Oryctolagus cuniculus: one gene and its partner. The protein of the gene in region 1 interacts with the protein of each later gene in a biochemical or structural test. Links are inferred from orthologs where the notes say so. Each region holds a gene or a part of one and is shown on either strand. Other genes may lie near its edges.

Region 1 (7,820 bases):
CCTTTAGTAAAATATATTCTGCTATGCATGCCGGTGTCTCACATGTGCTTAAATATCATTTTGTATCATTCAAAAATCCATCTTTACGTACTGGGACTTTAGGGCTTGGGAATGAGGAGGCGTGGGTTTTAGACCCAGCTCTTCTGCCAGCCGTGTGGGTGGCAAATAAGGACGCTGGCCTGGGCTTGGTCTAAAGCTCCCTGCATTTGCACCCTCTGCACTCTGTGTCTCATTGTTGCATTTTTCCCTCCAGGGGTTCTTCTTCATTTTCAAGACCCAGCGCTGCAGCTGAGTGACTTGTACTTTGTGGAACCCAAGTGGCTCTGCAAAGTCATGGCCCAGGTTGGTGTCTTAGGGTTTCCTGCGTGTGGGGGAGGGGTTGTGGTTGAGGAGCAAGCGTGTGGCGCCCCGAGCACGGAGCATCTCCTAGGATGCGTTTGGTTAAATTGGAAGTGGGTATCAAGATCGGACATTGTGGAAGCCTTCGGGCAGCAGGAGGTTCACGGGGAGCTGGCTGACGCGGGAGGGGTCTGCCACCCACAAGCCTTCGCTTTCAAGCCAGTGGTGGACGCCTGTGCACCTCCAGCCCAGGCCGTTCTCCTGGACCCTGAACACGTCTGTGGTTTGCTGTTCATTGAGTCGGGTGAAGGCTCTCTGAAAACCCTTGGGGCCAACGCCCGTAGGAAGATGGGGCGGGGGAGCCTGTGGAGCCTCTGTCTAGTTAACACGGAGGGATGTTTTGACTCACTCATTAGGTATTCAGTTGGGATTTGATTCATCTACTAAATGATACAGAGCCAGTAGATCAGAGCTTGGCCTGTTTCTAGATGTCCTCTGAAGACTTACTGGCTTTTTGGTGTTTCTTGATGTTTCAAGCCTTTGTGTGTTTCTGAAATAGGGATAGCAATGTTATCCTCTTGATTGCCTTTCTGGTTCGCTGCAAGTGAGGAGTTAATGTTTCTAATTTTGTTTTTGAGCCATTTTGCAATGTAAGGTATAATACTTTAGAAAGTGAAGAGAAATACTTTTAAAACTGAAAAACACTCATTTCATTTTGGAAAGTGCATCAGTTATGGATTCAAATAAAAAATGTATGCAAGTAGCTGCATCCCATACAGGAAAGGGAGTTTTCGACAGACCTGGCAGATTTGTCTTCCTGGGTGGCACACTGTAACTGTCAGAAAACAGCCAAGCTGTGTGCAGCCAAGAAAAGACCAGAACTCCCCCCGGGAGAGAGAGGTTTCGTGAGGCTTTGGGACATCTGAAGTCACATGTATGTAAATGATTTTTGGGTGAGCATGTCTGCTAGGGTAGAGTGAGAAGCAGCTGTGAGTGAAAACCGGGCTTTTCTTAAACAAGCTGGTTCCCACACAGTGATCTTCCCAGGTTCTGTGGAGTAATTAAGTTGAAACTCCATGAAATTTCTTCTCACTAGCATACTTAGAATACAAACTTGCTAATTGAAGTGGAAATGAAATCCAGAGGTTGAATAGCTCAGTTACTTGCACAGATTTGAAATGTCAGGAAAAATGTAAATTTAGATTTCTCATTCACTTGAAAAATAAATCCCATCGTTTTTATTTATGCTGATAAATTCAAATACAATGCCATTTTTCACTTAGCTTCACAGGGAATGGAAACTATAAATAGTCAAGCGCGAACAAGAGCCACTTGTCTGACACCATCAGCAGAAATAAACAGGGGTCTTCCCTCCATGAGTCACCAGGGCTGGGGTGAGAACAACTCCGAGGTGCAGGAGCTCAGAGGAGCCCACCCACCCTCCTGTACCCTGCATTGCTGTCAACTCAGGGAGGAGTTTGTGAAACTTACTTAGCTGTGTGAGAAAGACATGAAAAAGAAAAAAAAAAGGCATGCTTGCTTGGCAATTTATTCTTTTTTTTGTTAATTATTTAAGGAATACAAATTTCATTAGTACAACTTTAGGAATATGGTTACTCTTCCCAGCATACTCACCCTCCCACCCTTCCTCCTCCTTCCCTTCCTCGTCTCATTCTCCACTAAGATTCATTTTCAGTTAACTTTGTACACAGAAGACCAACTCTATACTGAGTAAATATTTTAACAATTTGCTCACACACACACACACACATAACTGAGAACAATTTAGTGCACAGTGACTCATGTTGTTAATTTAACAATTAACACTATTATGTATGATATCAGTGATCACTTGAGGTTCTTGATGTGAGCTGCCTAGGCTATGGAATCCTTTTGAATCCACAAAATCTGTCAGTATTTAGACAAGGCCACAGGCAAAGTAGTTCTCTCCTCCCTTTAGAGAACATCCTGCTATGATGGCCACTTCTTTCCTCTGGGATCTCACTCACAGAGATCCTTCATGTAGAAGATTTTTTGCCGCGGAGTTCTGGCTGTCCATGCCTAAAATGCTCTCAGGGGCTTTTCAGCCAGATCAGGAAGCCTTAAGGGCTGATTCTGAGTTCAGAGTGTTATTTAAGCAATTGTAATTATGAGATTCTGCTGTGTGGACTGCTTCCCATGTTGGAACATTCTCTCCTTTTTATTTCTATCCATTATTATTACCAGACACTTGATCCTATTTATGTGATCACTTTAACACTTGAGGTGGCATTTTTTACCACCCAGTTTAATGGGATTTGGGGTCTCATGTCAAGCTTTTAAACTGTACCCTTAGAAGTCCATAGGAATGTTTGCAGAACTCTACAGCTTTACAGTTACAAACTTCCTCCTTCCTCTTTTATTCCCACTCTTATTTTTTACTGAGATCCATCCTCATTTGAGTTTATACACATATGATAAACTCTATGTTAAGTAAAGAGTTCAACAAATAGTATGAAGAAAAAAAAACAGAAAAAATAAAAAAGACAAAACTGTCTCTCAACATCAAGATAAGGGCAGCTCAAGTCATCCCTTTAGAAAGTGTCAATTTCACTTCTACAGATTTCGTTTTAGGTGCTCTATTAGTTCTCAAGGATCAGGGAGAGCATAAGGTATTTGTCCCTTGGGGACTGGCTTATTTCACTATGATGTTTTCCATATTCATCCATTTTGTTGTAAATGACCAGATTTCATTTTTTAGTGCTGTGTAGTATTCCATAGTGTACATATCCCATAATTTCTTTATCCAGTCTTTGGTGATGGGCATTTAGGGTGATTCCAAGAGGGCTTGTTGATTTAATCAAGTGGAGCATTAGAATGCTTTCTTGGCAATTTAATCTTTAAAAAAAAAATAATACATGGAAGAAATACAGAGGAACTGGGGAAATGGTATTTCCTTGAATGAGAGTGCAAGTCAGCCATGCAAGTCACTAGGGTAAGAAGTTATATCTTTTAAAGATAATGTAATTAAGATAGTATTTCAGGTTTTATTGCTGTGTAATAAGGCATTCCCAAACTTGTAGACTTAAGATACCAATAGTTTGTAATCTCTCACTCGTCTCTGGGTTGAGTGGGCTCAGCAGAGTGGTTCCTTCCCACGTGGTGCTGGGCAAAGGCTGTTCACTTGTCATGGTTCACTGAGCTGGGCTGGAAGGCTCTGGAAATATCTCTGCACATTTGGGGTGTATTGGTGCCCCTCTGGTAGCCCAGGTGGGCTTCATCATGGCATGATGGTCACAGGGTGATTAGATACCTCACATGCTGACTGACAGCCAACAGGAACAAAGTGCAAGTTACCAGTCCTCTTAAAGTGTAGCTCCAGAACTGGCAAAATGTCAGTTCTGCTACCGTCCAGTGACCAGAGCAACCATCAGGCCATCCTGGATTCAAGGGGGAAGAGAATGGACTCTGCTTCTTCATGAATTGAGCAGGACACATGTATAGGGGAAGCACTGATGATATCGGTCTTTGGAAACCATTATAAAAAGTGATAGCATAATATACAGATCTGCAGAAAAAATTCAGCACAGAGGTTTTTAAATGAGTTCATCTAACTAAAACAAATTAGAATAACTAGACAATAATGGCTCACATACACAGCATGGAGAAGTGGAAATTGATGGGCAGAAAGGGTGAATAATTCACCTAGCACTATGTTGTTCAGAAGAATTAGTTAGGATTTCAAGCTGAGTAGTTGGACTTGAGTGCCTGTCAGTTAAGGTAAGACACCCCAGATGTCACTTCCGAGTTCATTCATCCAACGATATTCCTACTAAAATAGGAAACGGTTTTGCTCTCCACCTAACAAGTTTGGACAAACTGGGTCTCCTGTAAAGTCCACAGTTGAGATGAATTCTGAACTAGCTTTCATCTATTAATGGCCCTTTGTACCTTGTCTTTAAATACCAGTATGTTCAAACAGTCATTCGTTCATTGATTCAGCAAATACCATATACACAAAACAGGAGCGTAGACATGGTCAGAGCAGTCCCTGGACCTAAGGATTTTACAGTTCAGTGTATTGCGCAGTACATGGCAACAAAAATAGTGTTTGTTGCTACTAAAATATTGCTCAAGCATGCTGGACCTGGAGAGAATTAAGCCCAAGCTACTTTTGGGAATGAATTCGGCTAAGGAAGAGAGAGTCTGTAGGTAGCTAGAGCTAAAATGCAAGGGCTGACTGTGTGTGTGTCACAAGCACTTTCCACTCTCGTGGAAATCTAAGGGACAGTCATTGTTTTCATCTCCTTTTACAGAGAAGGAGGCTGTGCCTTAAAGAAATTAAATCCCTTTTCTGAAGTCACCCCACTTGCTTCAGAGCCTGGATTTGAACCTGGGTTCGTCTCAAGTGACCAAGTGAGACTTGATCAAGGCTCACATTGTGGTCTCCGTGTTAGAATTGTCCAGTTTGCTTCTTTCTTTTTTTTTAAGATTTTTTATTTATTTATTTGAGAGGTAGAGTCACAGACAGTGAGAGGGAGAGACAGAGAGAGAGGTCTTCCATCCGTTGGTTCACTCCCCAAATGGCCACAACAGCCAGAGCTGCACCGATCTGAAACCAGGAGCCAGGAGCTTCTTCCAGGTCTCCCACATGGTGCAGGGGCCCAAGGACTTGGGCCATCTTCTACTGCTTTTCCAGGCCACAGCAGAGAGCTGGACTGGAAGAGGAGCAAATGGAACTAGAACCAGTGCCCATATGGGATGCTGGTGCCTTGGGTGGAGGATTAACCTACTGCGCCACAGCGCCAGCCCCCAGGTTGCTTATTTCAAAAGCAGATTCTTGGGCCTCAGCCCAGCCTGCTGACCCAGACTCTGGGAGCAGATCCAGCAGAAGCGTAGTTACTCTGAGACTCACTGACTGTTCTCCTCCGCCTCTGCCCAGGAACAGAAACCTCGCCTGTTCTGTACCCATCGGGTGATCTTTCTGCTGCACACCTGGAGGGGTGACTGGCAGAGAGCACTTTTCCAGGACTGTGTTACTGATGAGGCTGCAGTACAGATGTGCTGTATTGGATTTATCATTGAATTAGAGCGGGGAAGTCTTGAGGTTCAGAGGATATTTGTGATCTGAACTCAGACTCTTAATTTAACAAACATTGGGAAGGGTGGGTACCCTCTTGGGATTCAAGGCTACTAGAGAAATTAGGTCCCCAGTTGTACTTAACAACATTTAAATTGTTCTGGTCATTTGCACTTGACATGAATTGTAGTCAATGAATGCATAATAGTTTGTATTGTTATCAGAAGACCAGGAACAGTGGACCATTAATTAATAGAAATGGTAGTCAGGACTCCTGCTGCATTCTGTACCTTACAGGAAACTCAGATTGCTCTCACAGGTTAGTTGATAAGGAAAACCATTTATTTGTTTAATTTTTTAAAAATTCTAAGACCTTCTCTGACAATTTAACAAAGCATTTCATGTCACTTTAAATTTGAAATATTTCAGAAAATGAGTGCTAGTGATTGATATTTATGAGTTCGAATTCTTCAGATTTTGACAGTGAAAGTGGAAGGCTATCCGAAACATCCTAAGGGAATTATTTCACGTAGAGATGTGGAAAAATTCCTGTCGAAGAAAAGGAGATTTCCAAAGAATTACATGACACAGTACGTTAAACTCCTGGAAAAATTCCAGATCGCCTTGCCAATAGGAGAAGAGTACTTACTGGTTCCAAGCAGGTAAAATAACCCATTAAAACTATTACGCCATGAAAATTAATGACCTACTGCCTTGTTTTAATGGTCAGATAAAATCAGTTTATAATAGATGTATGAAATTTTTAGCCTCTTGTGTAAACTTTGTACTGAAATATAGCATTTGCTTTTAATTAAAACAATGTGTTTGATGGTTCATAGCAAATGGCTTATTTTATTTATATAATTACTCTTTGGTTTACTATTGCTTAAGTTACTTAAGAAGGGTCAGTATTAGAGGGGTGTGTGTGTGTGTGTGTGTGTGTGTGTGTGTGTGTCTGTATCCCTATTCACACAGTGCTGAGAGAATTTCTGTATTAGGGAAGTGGATCAGAGTTTTTAAATGATTCATTCCATCACAATGAAATCCTAAATTCTGGTCCTGTGTTGTAGAAATTTGTCCTCATTGCTTTCTGAGCAACCTGGGAAGTCCATAAAGTGTTATGATGTTGAAAGGTGCAAATGACAGTGATGGACGGCAAGCAATTCTAAAAAAGATACTTTTTTTGAGCTCATTTTTTCAAGTTTTATAAAATCGATATTTTTGTAAATGGCTAACTATAATAAATGATTTGGATACAAAGGGTTACTGAAAACCTTTCCTGCATCTATTATATCTGAGTATGCACTGAGTTGATCAAATGCCCATCAAACATTTGATACAAGAAGAGCAAAGAGTGGAGAATCTTGCAGAGTGTGTCACCAGTTACAGTGGTTGGCTTCCTTGGTTTCGAGTAGTAAGTGCTTTGGTCAACGTGGCTGGTGATGTTGGTGCTTCCTAAAGACGATGTCCTCTTCCCTTTAGTCTCTCTGACCACCGGCCCGTAATAGAGCTTCCACACTGTGAGAACTCGGAAATCATCATCCGGCTCTATGAAATGCCTTATTTCCCCATGGGGTTTTGGTCAAGATTAATTAACCGGTTACTTGAGATCTCACCTTACATGCTTTCGGGAAGAGGTAAGTTTATACTGAAGACAGTATTTACAAAAGTTAGGGGCAGAGCATTTTAAACATTATATGCCAGTTTCCTTGAGTTTGCCTTTCTGGAAGACAAGCTCCTGAGAACTGAGCTTGGCCAGTACAAAGGTGCATGAGCACACACAGACTCAGGCCATGTGTCAGGAAGAACATCCCTCAGGCCCTCGAGCCGGCCCATCCCAAGTGCTTTAACACGTTCCCAGCAAGCATTAATATCTTGTTTTCCATGCCCACAGCAAATTGTAAACAATAATTTTAAAAGGTGAGATTAGTTAGAATTCATTGTCTCTCTCTCTCTCTCTCTCTCTCTCACACACACACACACACACACACACACACTCATGAAAGACAAAAATGCAATGATTACTATATAATCAATGAGGTTAGTCAACAGATGTGACAGGTTCTGGCCGCGCCGTGGAGGGCCCATAATGTCTGTGTTCTGTTGTACCATCCTCAAGCAACTGACAAAAAGAACAAAAATGGATGTTTATGAAGTCAGCTGTTTTTCTTAAACTGAAGAGATGTCTAAGTGCCTCAAAGGGAAAACACCAATTTTTTAAAAATATTTTTTCCAAAATAAACTTTATCTTGCTGGTAATTAATCCACATATAAGTAGTTAGACTGCTCAGGAGGTTTTAGTTTTACTGTGACCATCAAAACATTATGAGGGTGGCTGGCATTGTGTTGTAGTGGGTTAATCTACCACTTGTCACACAGGCATCCCGTATTGGAGTGCCAGTTTGAGTCCTGGCTTGGCTGC
Region 2 (7,820 bases), on another chromosome or scaffold:
CATGTTCAGTTGATTTTTGTATATGGTGAGAGGTTTGGATCTAATTTAATTCTTCTACACATATACATACATTTTGCTAGCACCATTTGTTGAAGAGATTTTTATCCCTATACTGCCATATGATCTGAGTACTTTTGTCAAAAATCAGTTGGCTATATGTATGTGGATTAATTTCTGGGCTCTCTGTTCTGTTCATTTGATCTGTGTATCAGTTTTTATGCCAGCATCAAGCTTTTTTAATTATGATAGCTTTGTAGAATGCTTCAAAATCAGGTATTGTGATGCCTCTAGCTTGGTTTTTCTTGTTCAGGATTGCTTCAGCTATTTAAGATCTTTTGTGATTCCATATGAATTTTAGGATTTTTTTTCTAACTCCGTTATGAATGCCATTGGTATTTTGATAGGAATTACATTGAATCTGTAGATTGCTTTATCCTTTGGCCAAATATACGTTTATGAACCCCTTGGATTTCCTTTTATCTTTTTCCTCTACCTCCATTTTTCACTTTGCTGTTACATGAAGTATGAAGCATTACCTCAGTCTTAAAATCAGACTTTTGACCAAGTGTGAGAAATCAGAGATTGATAGGTATCTGGACATCCTCCTGGATGGCAGTGATGGTAAAGGCTTGGGTTTCTAGGATTCTGTTGCTTATGGTCATTAGGAATTAGGTTCTAGTTTCTGTGAATGAGTGAGAGATCACAACACATTTTACTTGGGTTGCTCTTTGGAGGTAATCTTGCTCACTTAGAAATTCCTTTGAGATCCTGAAGGGAAGATGTGCATTTCCTCCCAAAACTCAAGCAAACAATGGTCAGTTCTTGAGGACTGGTGTTAACTGTTTCTTGTCTTTCCCTTTTCCATTCTCTTTAACAATCCATGAACTTATTGATCTTCAGGGTGATGTCTGGATCTGCATGGAGCTCATGGATACATCACTAGATAAATTCTACAAACAAGTCATTGATAAAGGCCAAACAATTCCAGAGGACATCTTAGGGAAAATAGCTGTTTCTGTGAGTACATCATGAGCAAGCATGAGGAGAATGTGAGCAGTCCAGGCCATGTATGTCTATGTATGTTCAGTATGAAGAAACTCTGCCTGGACAGTAGCTACCATCCAGCGTGTGCCTGTTGAATGCATGAGTTCATTGGTAGATGGATAAATATTTTTTTTCCTTATGAGCACCACATAGCAATGTTCCCACTGACTGAGTTTTGTCATTTCCAGGTTAAATGACTGTAAGCAGTGTGTTCATCTGCTATGATTGCATTCCTGTGTTTTCAATTTTTATTTGTAGAGTTTTGAATGTTTTCTTAAGACCAATAGGCATAGAAGAAATAGGAGGAATGACTGTGACCTTAATGGTTATTAAGGCTCAGGAGGGTAAAGAAGGAAAACAGTTCTTGAGGACAAATGAAAACAAGATAGACAGTGTGGGGCATCTTCTCTGCTATAGATACAGTCCTCTCTTGTGGATGGAGTCAATTTGTGTAACTCCCTGTGTATTTTTCTGGATAGGACAGCACTATTTAAGAAAATACCTCACCCTGTCTCCTTAAGCCAGGGATAATAAACCTGGATATACTTGTCATTCAATTCCTTTCCAGTGATAGGGTAAATAAATCTATCTTGTGTTTCTCTTGCAGATTGTAAAAGCATTAGAACATTTACACAGTAAGCTCTCTGTCATTCATCGAGGTAAGAACCATGGAGCTTCCTGGGCTATTCCTCTTATAAAGTTTATTTCTTTTACCTGGAGTCCCTCCATCCCTCCCCAAGGATGGCTGTGGAGTTGAGTCAGGCAGTAGAACTAAGTGCTTCCTTTGAGGACTGGATAGCCAATCAAATAAGAAGCTTTTTTTTCTTTAACTTGGCTGGGAGCTAAGGAAGACATGGACTTTAAAGTCTACCTAAGCTGAATATAAAGTACCTGTTACTAAGCAGTGCTTGGGATTACATCATTCAGAATTTTAGAAAATAGATAAAAATCCATCTTATATTGACCATCACATGGTGGCTTGTTAGAAAAGCAGAATCACCAAATGAATCTGAATTCTGCATTTTAACAAGGCCCCCAGCTGACTCTTGTGCACAAAAAAAATGTGTGAAAGTCTCTGGTATAAAGTAGAACCATTTCAGACAGCCAGAAGGCAGAATGAAATGATTTTACACTTCCTTCTCTCCTGCCTTCATTTTTTCCCTTGTGGCTCTTTTGATAGAGAACCAAATGAAAGATACAAAAAGAACATGGGAAAAACATAAACCACCTTACAAATATGACAACATCAGATATGCAAATATAGGTAGAATGGAAAACAGGAACTGTTGGTCTTTGGGAGACAATAGCCAGGGAAATCTTTGTAAAGATGCCTTTGGCTAGGTCTTTGAGAAAATTCATGGAAAGTAATTTCATCTAATAAAACTTTGTGGTTTGGGTAGTTCTTAAACTCTGAGGCTGTAAATAATGTAAAGTGCCTTGCAAAGTATGCCTATTATTGTTTTTATTATTACTAATTGTTGTCTTTAAAAATTGGAAAAATAGGAAGAAGAGAAGAAAGTAGGGAGGAATACATATTGGAGAAAGAATATGGACTGCCAACAAATGTGAAACTGATTTTAAGGGTTTATTTTAAAATTATGAAATACTAATTCCTATTGGAGAATGTATATATGATATACAAAATAATAAAATGAATTACATATATATGTCATTCAATCTCAGGAAAAAATTATGAAAGATAATTTTTAAGGCTTTTAGAGTAACTATCTCCTTCTGATTCCATGTTCCTTATAAAGAATGTCATAAATGGAAAAAATAACTATTTTCTAATTTCATTACCCAGATATAACAATAATTCATTTTTTGAGCATGTGAATAGGTAGGTTATATCTTTCAAGTCCACAGAACTCACTTAAAATCCACCTAGTAATGCCCTTTCTCCCATGATCTGCCCCGTATTTCTGGAATACTGGGTTTATTGTGTGTTACCCTATGGTGATACCTGAAACGTCTCTTGCAGAACTGGTTGCTTTGATCCTCGTTAGTGTATCATCATTTTTTTTTTTTTTTTTGACAGGCAGAGTGGACAGTGAGAGAGAGAGACAGAGAGAGAAAGGTCTTCCTTTGCCGTTGGTTCACCCTCCAATGGCCGCCGCTGCAGCCGGCGCACCGCGCTGATCCTGGCAGGAGCCAGGAGCCAGGTGCTTTTCCTGGTCTCCCATGGGGTGCAGGGCCCAAGCACCTGGGCCATCCTCCACTGCACTCCCTGGCCATAGCAGAGAGCTGGCCTGGAAGAGGGGCAACCGGGACAGAATCCGGCACCCCAACCGGGACTAGAACCCTGTGTGCCGGCGCCGCAAGGTGGAGGATTAGCCTATTGAGCCACGGCGCCGGCTAGTGTATCATCATTGTATTAAAATCTACCTTTTCATTCCTTCTTCTACTACTCCTCCAGTATATGTGAAGGTACTTAAAAAATTCATGCAACTAAAATACACAATTATTTTGGTACAGAATTTTTAATGCATACGTAGATTTTTCATAACACATTTTCTACAAACTTTTGAAGAACTCTTTTATGCATAGATTTCATCTTTTTTTGTGCCAAAATAAACTTATCCTCTAATTTCATTTTCCAGGAACTTTTCAAAGTACCCTGTATGCAACAGATTATTTTGAACTGAGCATGTGGTACAGCAATAGTTTTTTAAGTTCATGGTACATGTGTGGGGGCAATGAAGGTGAAAAGCTGAGTAGAGGAAATCATTTTTTTTCTTGATTTTTAATTGCAATCCTTCAAGAAAACTACTAAACATGAAATGGAAAATCAAGCTGAAAGCAGTGAGTAGTGTTTAAGTATGTGTCCAGGTTGACAGTTACTTTTGTCTTGGGCAGCTTAGGGCAAAGAAGATGAAGGGCAAGTAGAGATTTCAGGCCACCTGCTGGCAGAGAGATGAACTTCCAAGCAGGCTGGAATCATGGATTCCGGTTGTTCTTATTTCAGACGTCAAGCCTTCTAATGTGCTGATTAATACCCTGGGCCAAGTGAAGATGTGTGACTTTGGAATCAGTGGCTACCTGGTGGATTCAGTTGCTAAAACAATTGATGCGGGTTGCAAACCATACATGGCCGTAAGTATAGCAGCTGGGGATGGTGTCAGAATGAATGTGCTGGCAAAACTTCCTAGCACCTTCCAGGAAGTACGAAATTGGTGATAGCCACTGAAAAAAAAAAAAAAAAGTGGAAATGTGCCTGAGGACTCAAGAAATATTCTGTATCTTCTTTATTCCTAAAGATTTCCGGTCTGAAATCCTTAGTCACTGGCTTCATACATTGTCTTAGTGCCTTTGGTCACATTTAACAAAATACGAGTAAACTCAGGGGTGATAAGCAACAGAAATGTATTTCTCACCATTTTGGAGGCTGGGAAGTCTACAATCAGAGTGCTTTCAGATTCAGGGTCTGTTTTTGTCTGGTTCGCAGATGGTGCCTTCTTTCTAGCTGTGCCCTCACATGTGGTGGAGACAAGGGGTTCACTACAGAGCCTTCTAGCTGTGCCCTCACATGTGGTGGAGACAAGGGGTTCACTACAGAGCCTTCTAGCTGTGCCCTCACATGTGGTGGAGACAAGGGGTTCACTACAGAGCCTTCTAGCTGTGCCCTCACATGTGGTGGAGACAAGGGGTTCACTACAGAGCCTTCTAGCTGTGCCCTCACATGTGGTGGAGACAAGGGGTTCACTACAGAGCCTCTTCTCTCAGGGCACTGCTGGAGCTGGTGCTGAAGCCTACTCACTACACAAAGGCTCTGCCCCCTAATGCCTGCACATTGGGATGACTTTCAACATTTTGGGGGGACACAAACATTCAGACTACAGTGTTCGAAATTTGTTTTCCTAAAAATCAAAGCAATACACTCTTTGAAAAAACTCACAAGTAATACATACAGCTCACAGAATTTCCACGGTGACTTGTAGGTGAATGTCGCCTTGTTTGTTGAGGACAGGATAGCAAGTAGAATTTAAATCACTCAAAGGAAGGCCATTTCATCGTGAGAGAACCTCACAACTGTGTACATTCATTGCCGTTAGCAGAGACCTTGGGATCTTCGTTAACTGAGGGAGTATCCTGCTTGGAAATGGACTTGTGTTTGGGATTGCAAAGCTTCCCATTTGTCTTTAGATGAAAGCTTCTTGGGTGTGTTCTCACCCGACAGAGCTCGGTCACTCTTGGGGATTCTTATTAGTGTTGGTATATATATATATTTTTTTTGACAGGCAGAGTGGACAGTGAGAGAGACAGACAGAAAGAAAGGTCTTCCTTTGCCGTTGGTTCACCCTCCAATGGCCGCTGCGGCCAGCGCGCTGCGGCCTGTGCACCGCACTGATCCAATGGCAGGAGCCAGGTGCTTCTCCTGGTCTCCCATGGGGTGCAGGGCCCAAGCACTTGGGCCATCCTCCACTGTACTCCCTGACCACAGCAGAGAGCTGGCCTGGAAGAGGGGCAGACGGGACAGAATCTGGTGCCCCGACCTGGACTAGAACGCGGTGTGCTGGCGTCGCAAGGCGGAGGATTAGCCTAGTGAGCCGCGGCGCCGGCCCTACTGTTGGTATTTTTAACAAGAGTAAATCTAGATGGACAAAGGAGTTTTATGACATATAACCTGTTTCTTCTTAGGGCAAAATTAAAATTTGTTGGGAATGAACATTGACCCATTATTGTCTCTGAGAAAAGACTAACATATCTGGAAAACCCCATGGAGATATGGTTATTTGTTATATTTATGGAGTCTTTCTGACCTGAGTCATGTTAGCAGCTTAAAACAGCTCACTTGGCGGTGGTGCTGACCCCCATCCCAAAGACTTTATTGAGCTAAAAATGTCATCTCAGTTATCTTTCCAGTTTCTCACTTGTCTCTCTCCTTTCCAGCCTGAAAGAATAAACCCAGAGCTCAACCAGAAGGGATACAGTGTGAAGTCTGACATTTGGAGTCTGGGCATCACCATGGTAGTGTATGATAATCAACATGGACTTGAGGTTCTGGGAACGAAGCTGCAATGGGTGGATTTTGGGACCAAGCTGCAATATCCTAAATGCTAGCCTTCATCATTCATTTTTGCCTGCACTGGCAGGAGATTTTGAGAGATAATTATTTACAGTGTTGTGAAGTAGAAGCATTGAACTGGTATTGGGCAAACCGAATTTTCTCTTTATTCTACCTCTTAATAATTATATGCCCTTGAGTAAATGGTGTAATTACATGGGCTTTCTGTCCTCATCTAGAAAGTGAGAGTGTTTGACTAGATGCTACCTAGGGTTTAAAATTTAAATTGTTGTAGTTAAGGCAAGAAGTTGAAGCTACAGAAAGAGTCCCAAAGATCTTTGTTATCCAAGACATGGACTCTGCTTCCCAGGGCATTTTTATTTTAGATGTCTTGACTATTGAACAGGTCAGGGATATTCTAAAGACTTGGTAACAAATAGCTCAATGTTCTTTGGCATGGCCCTACATTTATACAAAGAGTGTGTTATTTAGAACTTTGGTGATCATAAATTTTCAGTGTATCACTAAAGTCTAGAATTATCCACAATAGTCCTGGATCCTTTCCAGGCACAGCAGCTGAGTAAATCCTGTGAGTTATTTCACATCTATGCCCAGAAAACACGTGATCCCAGCACAGCAAAGTGGTCTTTAATCAAGTCCAAAAACAGATCAGTCATTTGGTCCTAGATTACTTTTTTCCTCCCTTTTTCACCAACTGACCTGCAGGTGGCAGCAGATGTCCAGCTCTGTCTAGGTCTTCCAGTGTGATTTACTTTTCAGACCAAACATTTGAAAACCTGATTGCTTTAGGTTGTCTTAGAATGTTTGTGAAGCACAACAGTTGATTTTAGTGAACAACTTAGTTTCTGATAAGTTTATTTTAAAGTTTCTTTTGTTTCTTTGAAAGGCAGAGAGAGAGAAAGAGAGAGAGAGAGAGAGAGAGAGAGATCAAATACTTGCAACAGCCAGTGCTGGGTCAGGCTGAAGCCAGGAGCCAGGACTTCCATCCAAGTCTCCTGTGTGGGTGGAGGGACCCAAGTACTTGAGCCTTCACCTGCTGCCTCCCAGGGTGCATGTTAACAGGAAGCTGGACTGGAAGTACAGGAGAGACTTGGTCCCAGGCCTCCTTAACCCACTATACCACAAAACCTACCCAACTTTAGATGAGTTTACATGGCCTTCTGTAGTTAGGTATTATTTTAAAATCACTAACTCTAGGGGCCAGCACTGTGGTGCAGTGGGTTAAAACCCTGGCCTGAAGCGCTGGCATCTCATATGGGCACTGGTTCAAGTTCCGGCTGCTCCTCTTCCCATCCAGCTCTCTGCTATGGCCTGGGAGAGCAGTGGAGGATGGCCCAAGTGCTTGGGCTCCTGTACCCATGTGTGAGACCTAGAGGAAGCTCCTGGCTCCTGGCTTCAGATCAGCACAGCTCCGGCCATTGCAGCCAATAGGGGAGTGAACCATCAGATAGAAGACCTCTCTCTCTCTCTCTCTCTCTCTCTCTCTCTCTCTCTCTGCCTCTCCTCTCTGTGTAACTCTGACTTTCAAATAAATAAATAAAAAAATCACTAACTCTAGGAACTTGGGGAAAAATAACAGTTTGTTTATTTTTCACAAAATTAAACTTGAACTTCAGGGAGATTTGTATTTCCCTCTGGCTTTCCTGGAATGAAACCTGCTGATTGTCTAAGTCAGTCCAGTTTAAACAGTTGTCTCCTTGTTTCCTCTCCTAGATTGAGTTGGCCATCCTCCGGTTTCCCTATGATTCTT

What was found.
Region 2: of the proteins of LRRK2 (region 1) and MAP2K6, one has a biochemical effect on the other in vitro, tested with the Homo sapiens proteins (2 studies listed by BioGRID). The link is inferred for Oryctolagus cuniculus from reciprocal best matches to the Homo sapiens genes LRRK2 and MAP2K6.

Annotation. Positions count from the first base shown.
Region 1 is NC_091440.1:131,852,643-131,860,462, forward strand, and holds part of LRRK2 (leucine-rich repeat serine/threonine-protein kinase 2), read left to right. Parts: intron 1-253; coding exon 254-342; intron 343-5,872; coding exon 5,873-6,060; intron 6,061-6,880; coding exon 6,881-7,035; intron 7,036-7,820. UniProt on the Homo sapiens protein: Serine/threonine-protein kinase which phosphorylates a broad range of proteins involved in multiple processes such as neuronal plasticity, innate immunity, autophagy, and vesicle trafficking.
Region 2 is NC_091448.1:10,246,797-10,254,616, reverse strand, and holds part of MAP2K6 (dual specificity mitogen-activated protein kinase kinase 6), read left to right. Parts: intron 1-900; coding exon 901-1,017; intron 1,018-1,651; coding exon 1,652-1,703; intron 1,704-4,009; coding exon 4,010-4,137; intron 4,138-5,934; coding exon 5,935-6,012; intron 6,013-7,783; coding exon 7,784-7,820. UniProt on the Homo sapiens protein: Dual specificity protein kinase which acts as an essential component of the MAP kinase signal transduction pathway.